Linked DNA regions of Alligator mississippiensis. The protein of the gene in region 1 interacts with the protein of each later gene in a pairwise test. Links are inferred from orthologs where the notes say so. Each region holds a gene or a part of one and is shown on either strand. Other genes may lie near its edges.

Evidence for each region.
Region 2: the proteins of NT5C2 (region 1) and MOB3B interact in binary tests that used the Homo sapiens proteins (3 or more experiments, as listed by UniProt). The two-hybrid records come from large-scale screens. The link is inferred for Alligator mississippiensis from reciprocal best matches to the Homo sapiens genes NT5C2 and MOB3B.

What each region holds. Positions count from the first base shown.
Region 1 is NC_081829.1:98,821,809-98,832,412, forward strand, and holds the start of NT5C2 (cytosolic purine 5'-nucleotidase), read left to right. Parts: upstream 1-5,216; 5' UTR 5,217-5,224; coding exon 5,225-5,292; intron 5,293-10,604. UniProt on the Homo sapiens protein: Broad specificity cytosolic 5'-nucleotidase that catalyzes the dephosphorylation of 6-hydroxypurine nucleoside 5'-monophosphates.
Region 2 is NC_081826.1:171,266,250-171,275,553, reverse strand, and holds the start of MOB3B (MOB kinase activator 3B), read right to left. Parts: upstream 4,261-9,304; 5' UTR 4,129-4,260; intron 1-4,128. UniProt on the Homo sapiens protein: Modulates LATS1 expression in the Hippo signaling pathway which plays a pivotal role in organ size control and tumor suppression by restricting proliferation and promoting apoptosis.

The sequences.
Region 1 (10,604 bases):
TCCCAGAGCATGCTTCATGCAGCACAACTGCTGTAACAAAGGCATGCAGGTGTGCAAGAACCATGTTGCCTTGGCCTGGGGAGGAGAGCTGGGGCTCTCTTCTGCCCAAGTTTCCAGCAGCAGCTGGTATCCTAATGTAGTCAGGGTTTGGGACTGAAATTCTGAGGGGTAGAGCCTAGAGACAACACGCATTAAACCTCGATGATCCTCTATCCACATGGAAGTCTCCTTAGACAAGGAGTTGGATTTTGCCCAAGAGAATCAGTTTGACCGAGTGCTGAGTAACAAAGCAATCAGGTGACTTTGTGGGGGATTTTACTCTCATCACAGCCAGATGGTGGGTGGTCAAGCCTAGTGGTTAGGTCCAGGATCAGGAACTGCAGTGCAAAGTCAGGAGTCAGGACAAAGTCACAGCCAGGGTCTGGAGCCAGTGGGCACCCCAAAATCCATGGTCAGAGAGGCAGAGTGGTGGGCAGGAACAAGCCAAGATGGAGATGTCCCACCAGGGTTGGTGTGCCAGGGTCAAGTGCAAGGCAGTAGGATCAGGGCAATTTGGAAGCTCACCAGGAGACGTCTTGTGCACACAGCTCATTTCTGTCCATCTCTCTCATTTTAAGCCTGGGTTTAGGGCAGGGTCACTCCCCACCAGCCCAGTAGTCAGAATAATGATCTGTACCCTGCTGGAACAGTGATTTGTTGCAACCTCAACATAACCTATTAGAGTGCCACTGATAAAGAGGACCGGAGAGTATAAAGGAAAGGATCTCTCACGTGGTGTGTATGCCTGCACATGCATGTGTGCATGCACTGGGAAGGAAGGAGTGCAGGCACATAGTCAAGAGACTTGTGTTTCAGAAGAGAATCCATGGGCAAGAGGACAGGAAGAGGACCTTGGAGTCCTTAAAAGACACTGCCCCAAATCCCCCAAAACACTGGCTCAGTGAGGAAACAGGCAGGGAAAGGTGTGCAGGCCTTTTTCTCTGGAGGTGCATGTCATGTGTACTACTTAAAGCAGAAAGCGCTTACTTTAGAATCCTTTTGGCAAAGTACCCGTGTGTAAATGTGCTTCAAGAAGCAAGTATTCCCTGAGAGGTGTAAGCAGTAAAGCAGAGTGCCCACAAGGTTGGAGGTCTGGGAAGTTACTGTGGTGTCTAGGGGTGAGCATGACCCTAGAAGCCTAGCACAGCTGGACCCCAGGGTCTCATCTCTCAAGCAGGGGTGCTTGAGGGAGAACCTGCCTCCTCCCAAAGCCCATGTAGTGACCTAAAGCCAAGCAAAGTGATGGGACTCTGGACACTTGAACGCACGCAGGCCCAAGCACAGCAGCCTGGCAAGTGTCCAGTGTGGGGGGCATCACCAGGGCTTTGACTGCAGGACACAGGCATCACAAGCCCATTGCTAAGAACCCCTCCCATCCCATGGGTGAAACTGGCCCCGTCTCCTTCAAACCTCCCAGTGCTTCCAAAATCCAGGCAGCTGCAATCCTGAGCAAGAAACAACAGGAAGAGCCTTGCATCTTTGCTAGCTTCTCTATGCAAAGGCCACCTGGACATGGGTCTTGTTAAACCGCATGAATCCTAGCCACTCCCTGTCTCTGCTCGCTGCCTGGCTTTTGTCACGCAAAGGAAAGCTGCCTCCTAGCTGGACACGCTGCACATGGGATGTACACATCTCAGATAATGTTTAGCACGCCCCATTAAGCAAATGCTCTGGGAGTACGTTTCGCCACCTGGCTTTGCTGCAGAAGTCACGTGGGAGAGGGATGCCTCCCTAGGCTGCAGAGCTGGTGCGTGATGAAGGCAGATCTGACGTGGTTTCCTGCCCAGCTGCTGCCGGTTGGCTTTCAGGGGCACAGCTAGAAGGAGCAAACCCATTTGGAAAGGAAAGAATGAGATTTGTGTTGACGTCAGCGCAAATCTTTTGTGCTCCAGCACTACTGAAGGCAGAGAGAGACATCGTGACACAAATGAAAATGTGCCCAGAGTGATACACCCACGTATGTAACAGCTCGTGTTGACACACTCAGAGTCACCTGCACAGAGATAGTGACACGCACAGAGACAGGCAGGCACAAAGATGCAGAAGGACATGGGCATCCACAAACACAAACAGAGGCAGGTGCAAAACCTGCTGACTTCAGCGGAGCTCCTTGTGTGTGTGAAGTTAGATGTCCTCTAAGTGTTTACAGGTCAAAAATTTTTATCAGGCTTGGATCTCTGTGTCGAACTGCTATTGTCTGCCTGCCTAATCAGCCTGTCTAATGCTGCATGGCCATGCTTCCAGCAGCAGGATGAGGCTCCACAGTGACTGTCCTTGTTGACTATAAAATGCCTGGCTATTGCTGAAGGCCAAGGGTGCAGAGTGTTATGCTGCCGCTTTTGGGCATATAGGTCTCATCTTAACAGAAACCATTTGTGTCCCTGCCTGGGCCTTGCACACTTCTGGAGACGTCCCGGCACCTCCTGGGCTGCCCCAGGCCTGTGTGGCGGAGCTGGGATCAGAACGTGCCTTTCCAGATGCTCTGTTTTGTGACTAATGGCTGAAAGCCCCCACTCCCTCCTCTGTGGGGGGAGGCTGCTGTCATGGGGTGACAACAGAGGCCCAGTTCTGCTCCCACTGGAGACCATAGCCGAACAACCTGGAAGGAGCAGGTTTTATGCGCATGTAGACATGCATGTTTATCGATCCTGCTCCGTGCAGGGGGTGGACTTAGCAGGCCCCTTCGAGGCCCGATTCTCTAGGATACTATGAGTAATGGCTGCCCGTACATAATGCATGAGGACTGATCTCTGTGATGGCTCTGATCTTTTCTCAGAAAGGAGAGTGGGAATCCCCTCATGAGCATTACACTCAGGAGTGCTTCCCCTTGCTCTAATTACCCTTTCACATAAATGTCACAACAGAAATCGGGAATTGCATTGATGTATCCGCCTGCCTCCGTAACCTTTTGTCTTCCTTTCCAATCCCACTTCTTTAAGAAGATGGAACAGCCTGTATAATATGGCAGCACTTGTCTGTGCTGTTACTGGGTGCAGACTGTGGAAATGATCAGTACTTGGTTACATTATTTCAGTGTTATTATAGTAGGTTGTTAAGTGGAGTTCATATACATATATTACAATATGCATAACATGTACCATCATTTATGCGGCTAAGAGAAATGCTACAAATATCAGATGTGTCACAATAGGCAGCAATTACCTTTGCACAACCTTCTGTAACAATTGCCCCTATAAGCTAATAAGTACAATGCAGTGACAACACTTTTCAGTGTTGCTAGTGTGGCCCTTGCTGCCAATTCATGACTAGAGAGAGACACAGGCTTTCCTCTAGAAAGGGGCTGCCCTGTCCTCCTCAGCATCTGAAAGTGAGCATCTGCTCACGACAGCTTGTGCTATATATGTCTACGTGCAGCTGTGTGTGTAGCCATCTCTGTGCACATGAGGCTGAGTGTTGGCATGTGTGTGTCAACACGAGTTATTACATGCATGTATGCATCACTCTGGGCACATCTTCATTTGTGTTATGATGTCTCTGTCTTCACTATCACTGAAGCACTAAAGATTTGGGCTGATGTCAACTCAAATCTTATATGGATGTTATTCATATTTAGGAGATGAATAACATCATAATATAGAAATTATTCATATTCATGAGATGTATATATAACAGGGCCCTTAGGGTGATATTTTGTAGGGACCTATCTCTCTCTCTCTCTCTCTCTCTATCTAGTAGGGACCAAAATATATATTTTGTAGGGACCTATCTATAGATATCTATATCTATCTTTCTATAGATATAGATATCTATAGATATATATATACGTACATATGTACATACATACATACAGACAGATAGATAGATAGATCTTATTAATATATATATATATATATATATATATATAGCAGGGACCTTAGGGTGATATCTTGCAGGGACCAAAATATATATATATATATACACACACAGACACACACATATACACATCTATATATATATATATATATATATATATATATATATATACACACACACATATATTTATCTATCTGTCTATAGACAAAAGATAGATATATCTATATATTCATGATATATATATATATAGATATATATAGATATATATCTCTCTATATATATATAGCAGGACCCTTAGGGAAATATTTTGTAGGGACTATGTAGCCGAGATAAAATTAGACATGCTTTCAAATGCAAGACATTCACATACACACACACCCACCCACACCCACACCCACACACATATGAATGTCTTGCATTTGAAAGCATCTAACTTTATCCCAGCTATGTAATTGGTCCCTACAAAATACCACCCTAAGGGCCCTGCTACACATTCAAATTAATGCTGGCTGGATACCAGCTATAGAGTTGTGACACATTTTCAAGCGCTCATTTTATAGCTGGTTGGCTCTTTTAATAGTCGGAGAATCATTTTTATCCAGCGAGAAGTACTTTGCCCGTGTGGCCGGTCTAAACTGATTGCATGACTGACCGGTTCACCGCGTGACGGTTTCTTCGGGCTCGTGCTAGAATCCCCGCGGAGGTCGCATCTCGTCCACACCCCGTGCAAACCGTCCCGTGTAATGCGTCATCTCAACTGTGCGCAGAACGGGGGTCACCCCCGACACGACACACGCCTCACACCCGAACCCGCCGCGGCAGGCGAGCATGCGACCTTACCGAGCGCCTCACGTGCGGCCTGTCTCGGACCAGCGACCGGCCCTCAGAAATCCTCGCCTGGCCGGCTTATCGCGTGGCGACGATGTGGCCCCCTAAACGAGCCGTGTGACGGACCAGCGAACAGCGCGATGTATGTGACGTGGCGCAGGGCCCTCAGAAATCCTCACCTGTCCGGTTCGATGACTTGACACGCGCAGCTGCTCTAAATGTATTGCACGACTGACCAATGAATTATGCGATGTATGTAATGTCTACCAGGGGCCTTCAAAATCCTCGCGGCGCTGGTTCATTGTGTGGCAATGACTTGGCACGTGTGGCCTAAATGTACCGTGTGACGGAGTGAGCGATGTATGTAACGTGTACCAGTCCCTCAGAATCCCAACCCCCCCCCCCGCGCTTAGGCACCGCGCGCAATTCCCCGCTCGCTGCGAGGCGGAGGCCCCGCCCCCTCCCCTCCCTGCGTGCGGCGCAGCGCGGGGCCGGCACTTTCCCCCCGCTCCCTGGGGCGGGGCGGGGCGGGGCGTGCCCGCGCATGCGCAGTGCGGCGGCGGGGCGCTGCGGCAGTTGGTGCGGGGCCGTTTCCTGGGCGCGCGGCGGGAGGTGAGTGCGGCGCGCGGAGGGGCCGTTGCCGGGGGGACGCGCCAGCCTCGGGGGACGCTCCCATTGGCCGGCCCGGAGGGGTGGGGCGGTTAGGGAGTTGCCCCCCTCCCGCCGGCGGGGGCTGGGGGCGCTGCGCGCGCCCCTGAGGGGCAGTGACGTGGCCCCCCAGCCCCTCGCACCCCCTGGCTCCACATGTCGCCACGCGCTGAGGGGGCTCGCGATGCCCCTCGCCGTGACCCCTCGCGTTCCTAACGGTCGCCCCCGGCTGGCAAAACGTCCCAGCTTCGAGCACCTCGGCGGCGGTGGTCACCCCGGGGTGCCGCGAGCGCCCTCAGGCTTCGCCGCATCGACCCAGACGGGAATCGGCGGTGCTTCGCAGCCCCCCACACGGGAAGGCGGGTCCGACGCGCTCCGGCGATGCGCCCCCGTCGAGTCCGGCATCTGTCTTTCCCGCGTTGTGCAGTCTCCGTTTCGGACGGCAAAACCGGAGATCTTCCACATCGTGGGGGCGCCCGCCGAACGCGGCGCGGGCGCTTCCCGAGGGGTGCCGTGCGTCTTCTCAGTGGCGCGGGCACTTCCCGAGGGGTGCTACACGTCTCCTTGGTGACGCGGGTGCTTCCCGAGGGGTGCTACACGTCTCCTCAGCGGCACGGACCCTTCCCGAGGCGTGCCACACGTCTCCTCGGCGGCACGGGCACTTCCCGAGGGGTGCCACGCGTCTCCTCAGCGGCGCAGGCACTTCCCGAGGGGTGCCACGCGTCTCCTCAGCGGCACGGGCGCGTCCTGAGGGGTGCCACGCGTCTCCTCGGCGGCACGGGCGCTTCCTGAGGGGTGCCACGCGTCTCCTCAGCGGCACGGGCACTTCCTGAGGGGTGCCACGTGTCTCCTCAGCAGCGCGGGCGCTTCCCGAGGGGTGCCACATGTCTCCTCAGGATTCCAGCAAGGTGCTCGAGGGGTGGCTGCTCTGGCATCGTCCTCGGTCCGTTCAGGGATTTTACTTGTGGGATGGGATTGTATTTTTTTTGGAAGGCTAGACGTATATGATATATAATAAACGTATATAACACGCGCTCTGGGAAGCTTGCTTGAACGCGACGGGCTCCGAGCGGCTGCGTAATAACAGCCCCTTCTTGCCCAACACAACTGCGCCCTGCGTGAACTGCGAATTAGATCCGGTCGCTGATTAAAATACACTTTATTGCCCTGCGCACCTGTTAGCCCAGGGAGAAGGAGCGTGGTGTCGCCGTGACAGAGGCCCGATCCATCGGATGGTTATGCCTACGAGTCATTTCCGTGACGGCGGGTTTGCACAGTTCAGACTCTATGTTTTGATTTTCACGTCATCTGTTCTCTCTTCTCTCCCCCTTCCCTCCCTGGTTTGTATAATGTCACTGACAGCCAAATTTTTTCAATGCCATATTACATCTGCACTGGCAACTGTCAGGAAAACTGTCCTCATCTTCTGCTTGAGCAGTTTCGCTCTGGAAATCCGAGATACAATACCATCCAAGTGGAGCCTGTATCAATTTAACAGTCATATTTTGGAGTAGAATTACACTTTAAAACACTCTGTTGTAACTGGTCCTTAGGTCAAAAGAGCTGTCAGAAGTTTGCCAGTTTCATTGCAACCGTTGGAATTTATTCCAGCATAAATGTGGTGTCGTGACACACTGCAGCTTTTATTCTGTCCAGTTCCTTACAGGCTAATGGTATTGCCAAAAGCTTGGTGGAATAAAATACAATTTCTGAGACAGATAAAAGACAGATGTTATGAGATCAAGATATGCATTGTCTTCTGAAGTTTGAAAGTAGCAAGTGTACCCATATATTTGCTTCTGTCGCGTTACTATTCTAAACGCTTCCTGGGGTGTGGATGTGCAAAGACTCAATTTGAGCAGGAATTTGTCAGACAGATTTTCAGCTTTTAAGCAGCCTTTAAAAACATTTTAAAAAATGCTTAAAGGATCAGTGTTTTGTCAGTTGTAGCTCCAAATTTAGGTTCAACTCAAACTTAAGTTTTGCAGAAATAAGTGTTTGATAACCTAAAACCCCTAGAAATAACCATTAGACTTTTTAATGACAAACAAAAAGCCCTCAATTTTTTATTTTTTTTTTAAAGAAACCAGCCCCTTGTGTTTGCAACTTGAGCACCACATCGTTATCTGAAAGCAATGACAGCAAACTTCTTAGAAAATATATACAACCAGTTAATTTTCTTTGCCCAAGATGAGAGGGTTTTTTCTGCATCTCCATCTGGATCGGTATTCATTCATGGAGAAGGAAATAAAAACTGATTCAAATAGGACATTTAGCTTGACTCCAAGCCTCTTAAAGAAGCAAATAACTTTTGTTCCTTTCATACTCTTCACTTGCAGTCCAGCAACAGTTCACTTGCCTCATCTCAAGAAGGGAACATGCAGGTTATCTAGTTGTAAATCTGGGCAAGGAAAGATTCAAAGGATTGGTTATAAATCAGGCTTGCTGTGCTCTGGAGTGAACTGAGTTGGAATCTGCAACCTTTGAGTTCAACAAGAGTGACACGGCCCTGCACAGGAAGAGGTGCAGGGGAGAAAGGTTGCCTGCTGGCAGCTCCTCCCTGAAGACAGGTGCTAGAGACAAAGGTAGAATCAAATAGATGACCTGCACAAGGAGCTAAATTACCCGCTGGTTCTGCAGCCTGGGAGTTGGGGAGCATGGCAGGACCTGGCTAATTTGATAGCATGGCACCTACATGGACTTGGCCATTTAAAATCCATTCTGTTCCGACCCAAACTAACATTGCCCTTTGGTAGATGTTTGGCCTCGTAGGAAGGAAATTAGTTCTTGCAGTCTAGGTTTGGGTGCAAAGTTTCACATGCAACTCATTCCCCAGTCTTAAGGTTTTTCTTCACTGCCAAAAAGGTGGAGAAAACAGCAAAAACAGTCTCCCCGCGCCTGAAGAAGGGCGTTTGTATCCAAAGGCTTGCAAAGATCAATTTTTCCAACTATTTAGTTGGTCTAGTAAAAGATATCACATCTACCCAAATAGCCTTGTCAGTAAAAACCAGGCACTATCGTGTTGCCGCAAGGTCAACTTGCTGAAGTAAACCCCATGCCCCCGCTTGGGGTTTACCCGAGTTCACCTCATGGTAAATGAGGTGCCTTGTCTTCTCTTCATTTTTACCCCAGGAGAGTTTATGTGCACTCGTTACCCTGAAGTAAAAACACAGGTTTCTAGCAGTGAAAATAATAATAGGGAGGGCAGGACTGGATGGCCTTGGAACTGAACTCCTGTCTCACTCTTGGAGGTGGTGACTCTATGTCAGGCCTGGTGCACATTAGTAAGTAAGTGGGGAGGGTGTCCCTTTGTGCTGTTTCTGTTCTTTCTCCAATTTACAGTTGTATCAAGAAAGCACAGAATGGATTAAAAAATGCTTGAATACCTGGCTACATTTAAAGTGGCCAAGGTATCCATCTTCGAAAGTTGACCTCCGCTGTCCAGGCATAGCTTATCCTTTGCACACCTCTAGAATAGGCATTTTCTTGAGATTATTCATCAGGATAAAAGGCCTCATCTATGTGACTGGGGAAACTCATACAGTGCATTGTGGCTGTGATCCAGGTATTAATGGTTTGTATATTTTTAATATTATGGGTCGTCATTCGTAAGGGTGATTCGTAAAATGTTAAGCTCTACTGTGCCCAAGCAAAGCACTCAGTGCAAATTTACTTTTCCTTTATTACTACAAGCAATAGAAAAATACAGAATGTACAACAACTTATGCGACATCTGGAAGCAAAATCCAATGTTGGTATTTCAGGGCGGCTGCCACAAGCTGTTGATAATCTCAACATGCCTAAATAAGAGTAACTGGTCTGTCCCAAACTTCCTACATGTGCAAAAAGGCCAGACAGGTGCTATGAAAAAGCATATGGCAGATTTGAGGGCTTCAGTGTTGAAGCTTAATTAAGGACAGTACATTTTGGGGCAACGATAACCTAACTCAGGTGCCAAGAAATTGAGATGGGCACCCAGTGAATTCTGCCTGCCTCTGAATCACACTAATCGCTGAATAGTTTTATTACTGGTGTGATATATAAAAGAAGGTATACATTAGATAAAGACAGCAATAGATTTGCTGTTATTTCCGTGATACTTAGCCCCCTGCTCAAACTTGTTTTTATACTGAATGGCTGTGTGCAAAGTAGAGTTTTTCACTTCTCTTGTACCTTTTTCAAATCTGGTACAGATAAATAGTAGCTAAAATTTTTACTGCTACCTTAATTTCTTTTGTTCAAAATTTCTTCTGCAGATTTCACCATTGCAATTGCTGATAAGTTACTCCCTTTATGGCAGTCTTGGTAGAGATACAAGTTGGGACAGGATATGGAAGATAAAAGCTTTTTTTCTCTTTGATTACACATATGACACCCTGTATACATACAAGTCAGTGTAATTTTAGGCTCCTGGTTTGCAGATTTTACCAGCCAAAAACAAACAAACCTTAAAGCAGTGAAGGTGAAACTGAAGGAGAATGGAGAAGGGCGGTATTGAGGAGTGACAGTTGCAGCAGTGATAGATCTGTAGGTGTGATATCGGTCATGTACATCTCGTTAGGTCCTCTTTCCATTTTTAAAGTGAACGTATGAACAGTGAAAATGGTATTTGTATCTTGGGGAGACGGCAGAGAGGGAAAGGCAAAGCTGTTGAGAATAAGCTTTGGGGAGTTCTGAACGGTTTCTTTCCAGAGCCAAAATGAAGTATGTTAGTAGGTCCTGGTGCGTAGGAGGCTTGTGCTGCCCCCAATTCTGTAGGTGAGCAGAGAATGTCAGCACCCAAAACTGCTACTCTGGCTCATTTCACCAGCCCACTGTTTAAATAGGAGATGGGGCCGGGGGCAGCACTTGCTCCATTTGTACCCTGCAGTGTCCTGAAGTCATTTCACAATCCATGGCTAATTTAGTTATTTAACCATAAGAGCAACATTTACAGCTGCCAGTTGTGTTTGGAACGTTTCCAACCAAAGGGGTTTTATGCTGAATTTATGCTTAGTAAGCAGATTACAGTTTAACCTCTTCTGGCACAGATGGCCTGGAGAAGACAGAGGCTCAGAATACTCTGAAATACTCTGATTTTTCATTGTTTGCTTACAAAAGCAGTAAGAGCATGCCCTTGGATTAACTGACTTTTGCCCAGGTCTTTGTACTCTAACATCTTGTGTAATGCGTGAGTATTTACCACATAGTGTTTCCCAAGGGCTTAGTGAGGTGGATCTTAGTTTAACACTAAAGTGAAGAGACTATAAAAAATTATTATATGTGGTAGTCATATC
Region 2 (9,304 bases), on another chromosome or scaffold:
GAAAGTATGGTTGTTTTGGTTTTTTCCCCTTTTTTACAGTGTGTTTATGTTTGTGGTCATGTTTTATATGAACAGAAAAAGAGTCTTAAACAGGTAATATCTAATGTAACAAAATCTTTCCTATCCTCCTTACCTCCTTTCCCCCCTCCTCTTAAGTAGGTAAGACAAATCAGTTTCCCAAATACCTGTTATTTTCTATTTCAGAGACCTCAAGCACCTTGGATGTTGGATCTCAGAGCCCATTTGTTGCACTCAAGGAACAACCACGTGATATTTGATTCTGCTTTTCATTCCCCCCATCTTTGCTTTCTTAACAAAAGGTATCCAGATCTCTAAACGTGCATGGTTCTGAAGGAAATTGCATCTGTGACAAACAGATTCTATCCTTTTTGTCAGAAAAAAAAAAATCAGGAGAGAGTTAAACTTTACCACAAACAGAATCTGGAGGAAAAATATGACAAAGCAGCCTTGAAGTCAGATTTAAAAGATTTTTTGGTCATTTCAGACCTGTGCAGTACCTAGATATTTTGGTTAAGATCCTCTAAGCAGACAAGGACTCCACTCTCACAGCTCCCATTCATTTAAAGTAAAATGGTGAAAAGTACCTTAACTCTTCGTGGAGAATATCCATTAAGAAGCATGCTGCTTTTCCTAATCCTAATACCTACCCAGGCACGAGGCTGCAATAACCAGGACCACATATGAAAAGCAACAACAACAAAATGGAAATTCAGAAGTAAATGTGTAAATATGCTTCAGATTAATATTTTCCTAGACAAATATTTCTTCCTAAGTAAAGCAATTTAAAGTTTTAAAAAATGTTAAGTAGGTGTCTAGCCTCAGTTTAGCAAAGTACCTAAACTAACTTCAGGCACATGGGTGGTCTCATTATTTCAACTATTCCTGTTCTTAATATAAGGCAGATGTTTAAGTACCTTGCTGAAATGCAGCTTATGATGTTGATGTTTCCTCATGTATAATGCATCAGGCAATATACATGCTGGTTCTAGCTAGACTCCAGCTAGGGCCAGAGTGTACTCCACCCATTAGACGCTTATGTACAACTGAATTCCACCCTGTTCAAGTCCCTGGAAATCTATTAACATATCTACTTTTCTACCACATAGTCATCTTAGTCTAAAAGCTAGAGTCTCAAATAAACAGCAAAGAGGAGGAGGACTCGCCTTCCTTTTGAATTACTGCTTGTTCAGGGATTCAAGCAGGGTGGAACAGGATCACATCTGGGTACTTAAGTCCACTTAGGCACCCAGTAGGCAGAGTAGGATGTGGTCCTTATATCTTCACTGGACTAGACTTCTGCTTAAACTATGCAGAACTGCAGCTGTACTTTTAACTCCAAAAAGCAGTGTCTGCCAAAGGTTTGGCAAAAATAACAAGGTATAATCCTGCATACATTAATGAAGCAGACCTTCCCTTATCCAGAAGTCTTTTGGTGTCTGAGCTGCACCACTGGGGTAAGAGGACACTAGGGAAGTTTCACCTTTCCTGATTTGCTACATTGGAGAAATACTTCTATGAAAAGTAAAGTATTTTTGCCTACTAGTTCTGGCAAAGTTAATGTTGAGTTAATGACTTATCGATCGTCTCAAGGTAGCTAAGGATTTGTAAAGGCTAATGCACCCTTTAACTGGCATTTAGAGAAATATTCACATGAACTTCTACAAACACTCTGGTTATCTTGAGTCACAATTAATAATAAGCAAAAAAAATAGATAGTATAGACAAGACCTATGTTTGCATTTCCTGTTTGGAATTCAGTGTTCATCCTCAGTGAGGGATACATGGATACTTCCCATTTCCATGGAGAGAATTTTATTGCCTGAAAAATCTGACTTGTGGTCATTTCAGAGTACATAATATTAACTCTTAATTTTCATTTAAAAAAAGACTACTTTCAACTTACAAAACACATTTTCTATGAAAAATATTTAAGACCTGTTGTTACAAGTAACGCCTAAGTAACTGAGGAATCAGAAAAACAAAAATATTTTTGCTGCCTTGATTTGATAGTACGTGTAGATTATTTCAATGATTCCCCTATCAATCATTTTCCCTTATCACTTGTGTGGGTTTTTCCACTCAGCAACAAAGACATTTTAAAACCACAGGAAAATGCAATTATAAATTGTAAACCACAAAAATTGGCAGGGGGAAATCAAGGTCACACATAACTAACTTTATAAAAACTAACTATATTTCCAGATAACAGTCTTTCTTTCTTTCATATTTTGTTGGGCTATCAGGCAAAATAATTGCCTTCCTATTTTTTGAAAGGAAGTTATATATGTGAAGTATTCACTGTTAGCTTTTGTACCATGCTGGCTTAGGTCAGTTCTGATAGCTGTTCATTTAATTATTTTATTATTTCAAAGTGAGTCAGGATTATGTGAGCTGGAACAGAAACTGTAACTTTCTCAAGATTCTGAGTTTTTGCAATCTTTATATTTGCTTGTATTTTCTGCTAGTTCAAAGATATCATGACTATAAGTATGTCACTCATTTGTAAATGCAAAATAATCAATATATTTATTATTTTTTTTAAACCCACCATTGTGGACAAAGATCAGTAGATTTTAAGCCCCAAAAGTGACTGGCTAGTCTGACTCCTTGGACAACGATGGACATAAAATTGCAACATGTGATTCCTGTATCAAAACCAAGAATTCGTGGCTAAACTATAGCATCTCTTTTAGAAGAGTACTCAGTCTTTATTTAAAACTCCAGAAGACAGACAAGCTACTACATGTAGAGGCAGATTGTTTTAATGGGCAGTTACCTGTACAGTTAAAAATGTGTGCTCTACTTTGAAATCTGAATTTGCATAGCCTCAGCAACCAACTCCTGTATCCTGTTATGCCTCTGCCTTGTTAAAAGCCCTCTGCTATCAGAGGTCTTTTTCTCCCCATAGTTTTTTGTAGACTGATCAAGTCAATCTTTAACCTTCTCTTAGATGTGCTTAATGCAAGGCAGTTTTCTGAGACTTCCAAAATAGAGTTACAGGAATGATTAGCAATGTTTAGTTTGTTCAGTCTAATGATGAACTCCTTATCCATACAAGAAACAAAGCTTTTAACCCTAAATATGAAATGATTTCCCTGGAAACATCATCAATTGTATGGCAGTTAATGTCAGAAAACTGTAATATTACCTCCTACAGTCCTGTTGCTCTGCATTTAATTGTGGTCCCCTTTATGCCACCACGCATCTCTAAACTTCTGATATGGACAAAGCTATCAAGACTCAGTTCTTTCTATGACAGTCAAAAAATCTGAATCTGGGACAAAATTAGAAGGAAACAAAAATACTTCCCATTTCTATTACCCTTTCCATCCCAGAATTTCAATGTACTTCCAAGAACTACTTCAGCACTTCCCATTGCTCAGAACACTGCCAAGGTGGCAGCAGCGGTAGCAGGGGGGAGGCACTACCTGATCCCTCAGCCCTTCCTTATGGCTCCCCTCATCCATGGCTGCCTCATAGCCTTCCCCCAGCCCAGCAGGGAACCAGCCATCCATCCCATCCTTGGCACTTGCCCATGGCTGTGGCAGTATATTCCAGGGCAGGCACATAGGATCATAGAAAATGAGGGTTGGAAGGGACCTCAGGAGGTACGGACTTCAACCCCCTGCTCAAACCAGGACCCCAGCCATTTGTCTTTAAAGCCTCCAAGGATGGAGATTCCCCAACCTCTGAGTAACCTGCCCCAGTGCTTCACCAGCCTCCTAGTGAGACATTCTTTTCCTAAGGTCCAATCTATGCTTCCTTTGCTGCAGCTTGAACCCATCGCTCCTTGTTCTGTCACCTGCCACCGCTGAGACCCCGATGCTCCTTGGGACTGTCCCGTGGCAGGGGACAGCCAGCAGCAACCCCCGCGCCCCGCTCCCAGCCCCTGCTCAGCCCGAGGGGAAGGAAAGGGGAGCACAAACCCACTGGCCGGGGCAGGCCCCCAGTGCAGGGGGAGAGGGGAAGAGCGAGGCGAGGGGGGGCGTCTGTTCTGCGCGGAGGGGTCGCGGGGGTTGTTCCACATGTTTGACAGCTGTTGGAGCGCAGCTGGAGCCCCCGGGATGGAGTTGGGGACGCGCAGCGGCCGCAGAGCGGGGCACTCACCTCTCCCGCCGAGGGCTCCCTCCTGCGCGCCGGGGGGAGTCTCTAGCCCCAGCCGCGGCTCCCCCCGCCGGTGCCTGGCACTGTTGCATGCGACCGCCGCTCCTCCGCCACCCGCTGCGCCGCCCCCTGCCGGGCAAGGCCCAGACCTGCAGCCCTGCCCCGCCCCGCCCCGCCCCGCCCCCACCGGCCGGCCCGGGGCCGCGGGACTGCCTGGACTGGGGGGGAGGCGGCGCCCCAGCCCCGCACGTCCGCAAGCGGGGAGTACGGGCCGCCCCGCCCCGCCCCGCCTGCGCTCCTCCCAAGTGGAGCAGGGAGGGGACGCAGCACGGCGTGAAGTGAACTTCAGCCCGCCAAAGCTTGGCTAGGCGCACACCTACACACACACACACACACGTGCGCACATTCATGCACACGTTCACACATTACACACACGCACATGCGCGCGCAAACACACATTTACACACTGTGATATACACATACATAGACACACCCCTGTGCACACACATGCACACATTCACACTCTCATGCACACGTTCACACATACATTCACAGATTCATGCACACATTAACACATACGGGTGCACATGTTCACACATTTGCACACTGACATGCACACAAACATGTTCACACACACACATGCATGCACACATACACACACACTCCAACCCACCTACGCTTGGCTATGCATGTTATGCAGCTGTATATGCATACACATACACTTTCTTCAACATAGTTATACATATATATAAATATGTATTACTTAATCTATATACATGATAGATTATTTATGTATATATTACTATTATTATATAGATTATATATATGAGTGTGTATATATAATCTACTTTGTATATATAATCTACTATGTGTGTATATCTAATCTATAATCACATAAATACACAAAGCAGATTTTATATATATACACATACACACATTTATATAGCTATATAGATTACATAGATTTGTAAAAGGCAGGGTAGATGTGCACTTTATAGACAACCCAAAGGAGATTTATACACGCACGCACACACAATTATATATGTAATATATAATTACATATATAATTATATATTATCTCCTCTAGTTAGTCTATAAGGTGCACATCTACCCTGCGTGCTATAAATCCAAACAGCCCTTATGTTGTCAAAATTCACATCTGAAATCTGACTTGCAACTATCCCTCAACCCAACCTCTGAGGACTGAACCCTCTTAGTGCCTTCCTATATGCATCCCGGCCAAACCTCAGGTCTTAGACCAAGTGATGTGAACAGTGCAGGGACACAACTGAGTTACCTCAGACTTCCTTAAGCATAAACTTGGGCTAACCTCAGCTCTTAGTGTTTTAGAAGCTCTCAGTCTATATTTATCATACTCCTTACGTCAAGATGTGCATACACTGCCTAGGATCCTTATTAAGGTGGGTGTGTATGTCTGCAGAATGAAAAGCATAGCAATTTTTTCCAGCAACAAACTTGCTTGTCCTGCCCTTCATAAGAACTTCCCCCACAAGGCCTCTAGGGCCACGTCCAGCTGAATGCAGCCATGTGCTATGTGGTGCCACAGACACATCTGTTGTGCCATGTATTGCACATTCAGGTGTTCTCCATGCTGCAAAGGAGCAGCGCTGGGGGTGGGGGTTTACCCTTGGATATCCAGTGATCAAAAAAACCCACGCAAAAAAAAAGCAGAGAGGTGCACCGGGGGCAGCACGTGCCACTCAAAACTAGAGCATGGCTGGCTGGAGTCATGCTCCAGCTGCCAGCCAGGCTCCGAGTGGCAGGATCACCACTACTGCAGCCCCAGGAGGCCCCCAGAACCCCAGGTAAGGCTGCTGGGGCCAGCCCAGTGCTGGCCTCAGCCTCCCCTACCCCACCCGGTAACTTGTCACATGCCAGAGGGCACATGCATCCCCCAGGGACAACTAGCGGTGGCACAAGGTGCTAGTTGTCCCTGGGGAACCAAACATCCACGCTCATGTGGACGCAGCCTAGAAATACATAAGAACTGCCATTTACTGGGTCAGTCCATGTTACTCCATATCCTGTCGCACAGTGGCAGAAAGTGGATGCTGAAAGGAAGAATGAACAGGGTTTTCTCCTGTTCTTCTCCCACTTGCAATCACTAGTACATAAGATCTAGGAAGATCCGATTCAGAGGCTGTGCCCCTCACTCCACTCCCAAATTCAATAGCTATGGATGCACCTTTCCTTCAAGAATTAGTAGCAAGCCTGCTTCTACATTAACAGGTTCTCTCTGACAACACTTAGTCATTTTGATTAATGAAACATTGAATGTCAAAAACCTATAGAAGAAATTTTACAAAGCTGCATTGTCCTACTAGGTTTTTGTTACTACCTTAGAAAATAAATTTGGACTGGGTACAGTATAAATGTGGATGATTCTCTCAGGTCACTGGTAACACAAAGTAGAAGAACAAAGACCAAATTGTTAGTTTTGTGCCCAGAAAGCTACAAAACAAATGTGTCCATCATCAAAGCTATCAGCATTGCAGCACTGTAAAGAAGTGGATGGCAGACAACACAGTTCATCTTCACTAGGGTAAAGTTGCCCAGTCTTGTGAAGAATAAGGGTTAAAAAACTGCTGGCATTAATTCATACCAGTTTAGGTTTTAATTGTCCACATCCATGTTGAGGTGGCCATTTGCTAAAGGCCAAAAGTTTATTACCCTCTCACTGCTGTCAAGTAGCAAGGCACAGTATTAGCTGCCTATTATGTTACCCCTGGGATAACTGAACATATGTCTATTCCTGAGCCTAGTATAGTTTACATCAGTGTAAAAAGTGAGTGTGAATTACCACAGGGTGTTTATCCAAAGCCTTAGCTGTGCTGGTCACTGAATGTAAGAGTGGCCCCACAAAAAAGCCAGCTTTGAAATCAGAATAACATTTCATTGAAGAGTCTTCCTGGCTGCCTTTCATCTCATAATCCAGCCAGATTCTCCTGCCTAGACAGGCTATAAACGCCTGTACCTTCTGCTAGACAGCAGCTAGGTATTGGTGAAAATACCTTTTGCCTTGAAAGGGAATAACCAGAAATAAAATCCTGTGGCTAAAAAATCTTGTATAAGCAAGATTAATTTACAATACAAACATGTACATAATTTAACTCAAGTGTAGAAAATGAAGAATGGTTACCTAATATTTGCTATTTTTATTTCTCTTGCAGAGATGCTAAGCACTGTAAGATGGTACTCCAAGAACAAAAAAGGTCTGTGAAACCACGTACACATAAGCATCAAACCACTTTGTGAAGTGCTAATCTCCCTTTTGAAATTCAGCCCGAAAACCCACATTAAAACATAAGAGAACAGAACTGGTGTACTAAGTACTACATAAGTACTATTCAGATGATATTTAGATACCAGGGTGATGTGTATATTATAAATACAGTAAAGACTGGATTTGACAGGTCACCTCAGAAAGGAGTGTGGTAACAAAAAGGATGCACTGGCAATACAGATTTCAGTTGTTATGATTGACTGGAGTGGGGCTTCTAGGGTGGGATATTCAAAAGGGCCTGATGAGGCTGGTTGGGAGACTTAGTGGGACTAATACAAAAGGGCTACTGCTCTCAAATTCTTTGCATGCTTTCAGTTCTCATGTGGCAGGGGAATTTTGTGCTGTTGGCTGACACGTGATAATTAGTAGTATTGGAGAGGCTGGGACAGACAAGCTTTCAAATACAATGCACTGCTCTTCATTCAAAAGCTTGTTTAAGCCTATCCCAACCATGTAGTTGGTACAATGAACTATATCACCCACCTTGCCTGTTGCATATTTCCTGGACTACCACAGCTATAACATCAGTCCAACACTACCAATCCTCAAGTTTTAGCCAAATACACCTCTTTCCTTCCCAAAATCCAATGCCATTAATTTCTACTGGGAAGTGGCATCTCCTATAGCCTTTCTTTTAAAGATAGTGATTTTTTTTACTTTCCTTCTGGATAGCACATGGAAAAGTGTATGCTGGTGAAAGAAAAGGACTTGTATTGCTGGAGAAAGACAAGTCCTGCTCCCAATCTGGATATAGGCTTTCTAGGCCTCACTAAGTGACAACAGGACAAACTCTGCCAATTGCAGAATCTCATCTCTGAAGAGTTGCAGCAAGTTTGATAACAGGAAAGTTTATCAAACCCCACCTCATATACCTCTACAATCATTAACAAATCTTAATGAAAAACTTATCTATATAAACCAACTTAAGTCACAAGCATCTGACTTCTTTGAAGCTGTAATTAGCAATGAAACAAGCAGCAGAAAATCTTTAACCATGAAAACTTTTAACAGGGGCCGAAGATAAAATTTTGAGTTGATTTATGTGCAGAAATTGTACTATTTTAAGTATACCCCGATAGACAAAGGAGTATAATCCCACACTTGTAGGTGACAGATGCACTAATACAAATAATTATCCCACAGGGAGAGTTCTGTTCGTTAAAGGTGCTTATACTGGTTTAGTTTATTCCCCTAAATTTTCAGGACTAAATTGATATACTGATACAAGTCCCCTTTTCACCAATATAATTGGGTTATACTCCTTTAAGTATTTCAGTGCTGGGGCGGGGGGAGGGTTGGAAATCATATCCTTTACCACAGCAGTTCCCTCAGTCTTTCCTCATAAGTCATGTCACTTATGAGGAAAGACTGAGGGAACTGGGCTTATTTAGTTTAGAGAAGAGAAGACTGAGAGGGGACTTAATAGCAGCCTTCGACTACCTGAAGAGCGGTTCAAAAGAGGATGGAGCTAAACTGTTCGCAGTGGTGGCAGATGACAGAGCAAGGAGCAATGGTCTCAAGTTGCAGCAAGAGAAGTTTAGGTTAGATATTAGGAAGAATTTTCTCACTTGGAGGGTAGTAAAACACTGGAACAGGTTACCCAGAGAGGTGTTGGAAGTGCCATTCTTGGAAGTTTTCAAAATCCAGCTAGATAAAGCTTTGACTGGGATGAACTACTTGGGGATGGTCCTGCTTTGAGCAAAGGGTTGGACTAGATGGCCTCCTGAGTTCACTTCCAACCCTAATTTTCTATGAATTTATGAAGCACTAGGTGCATATGTGGATTTATAAGGGGGGGGGGGGAGGGTAGTATTAGAAGTGATGCCTGGAGTCAAAGGTCAGTTTCTCTCCATCTTAAAACTGCACTGTAAAAAA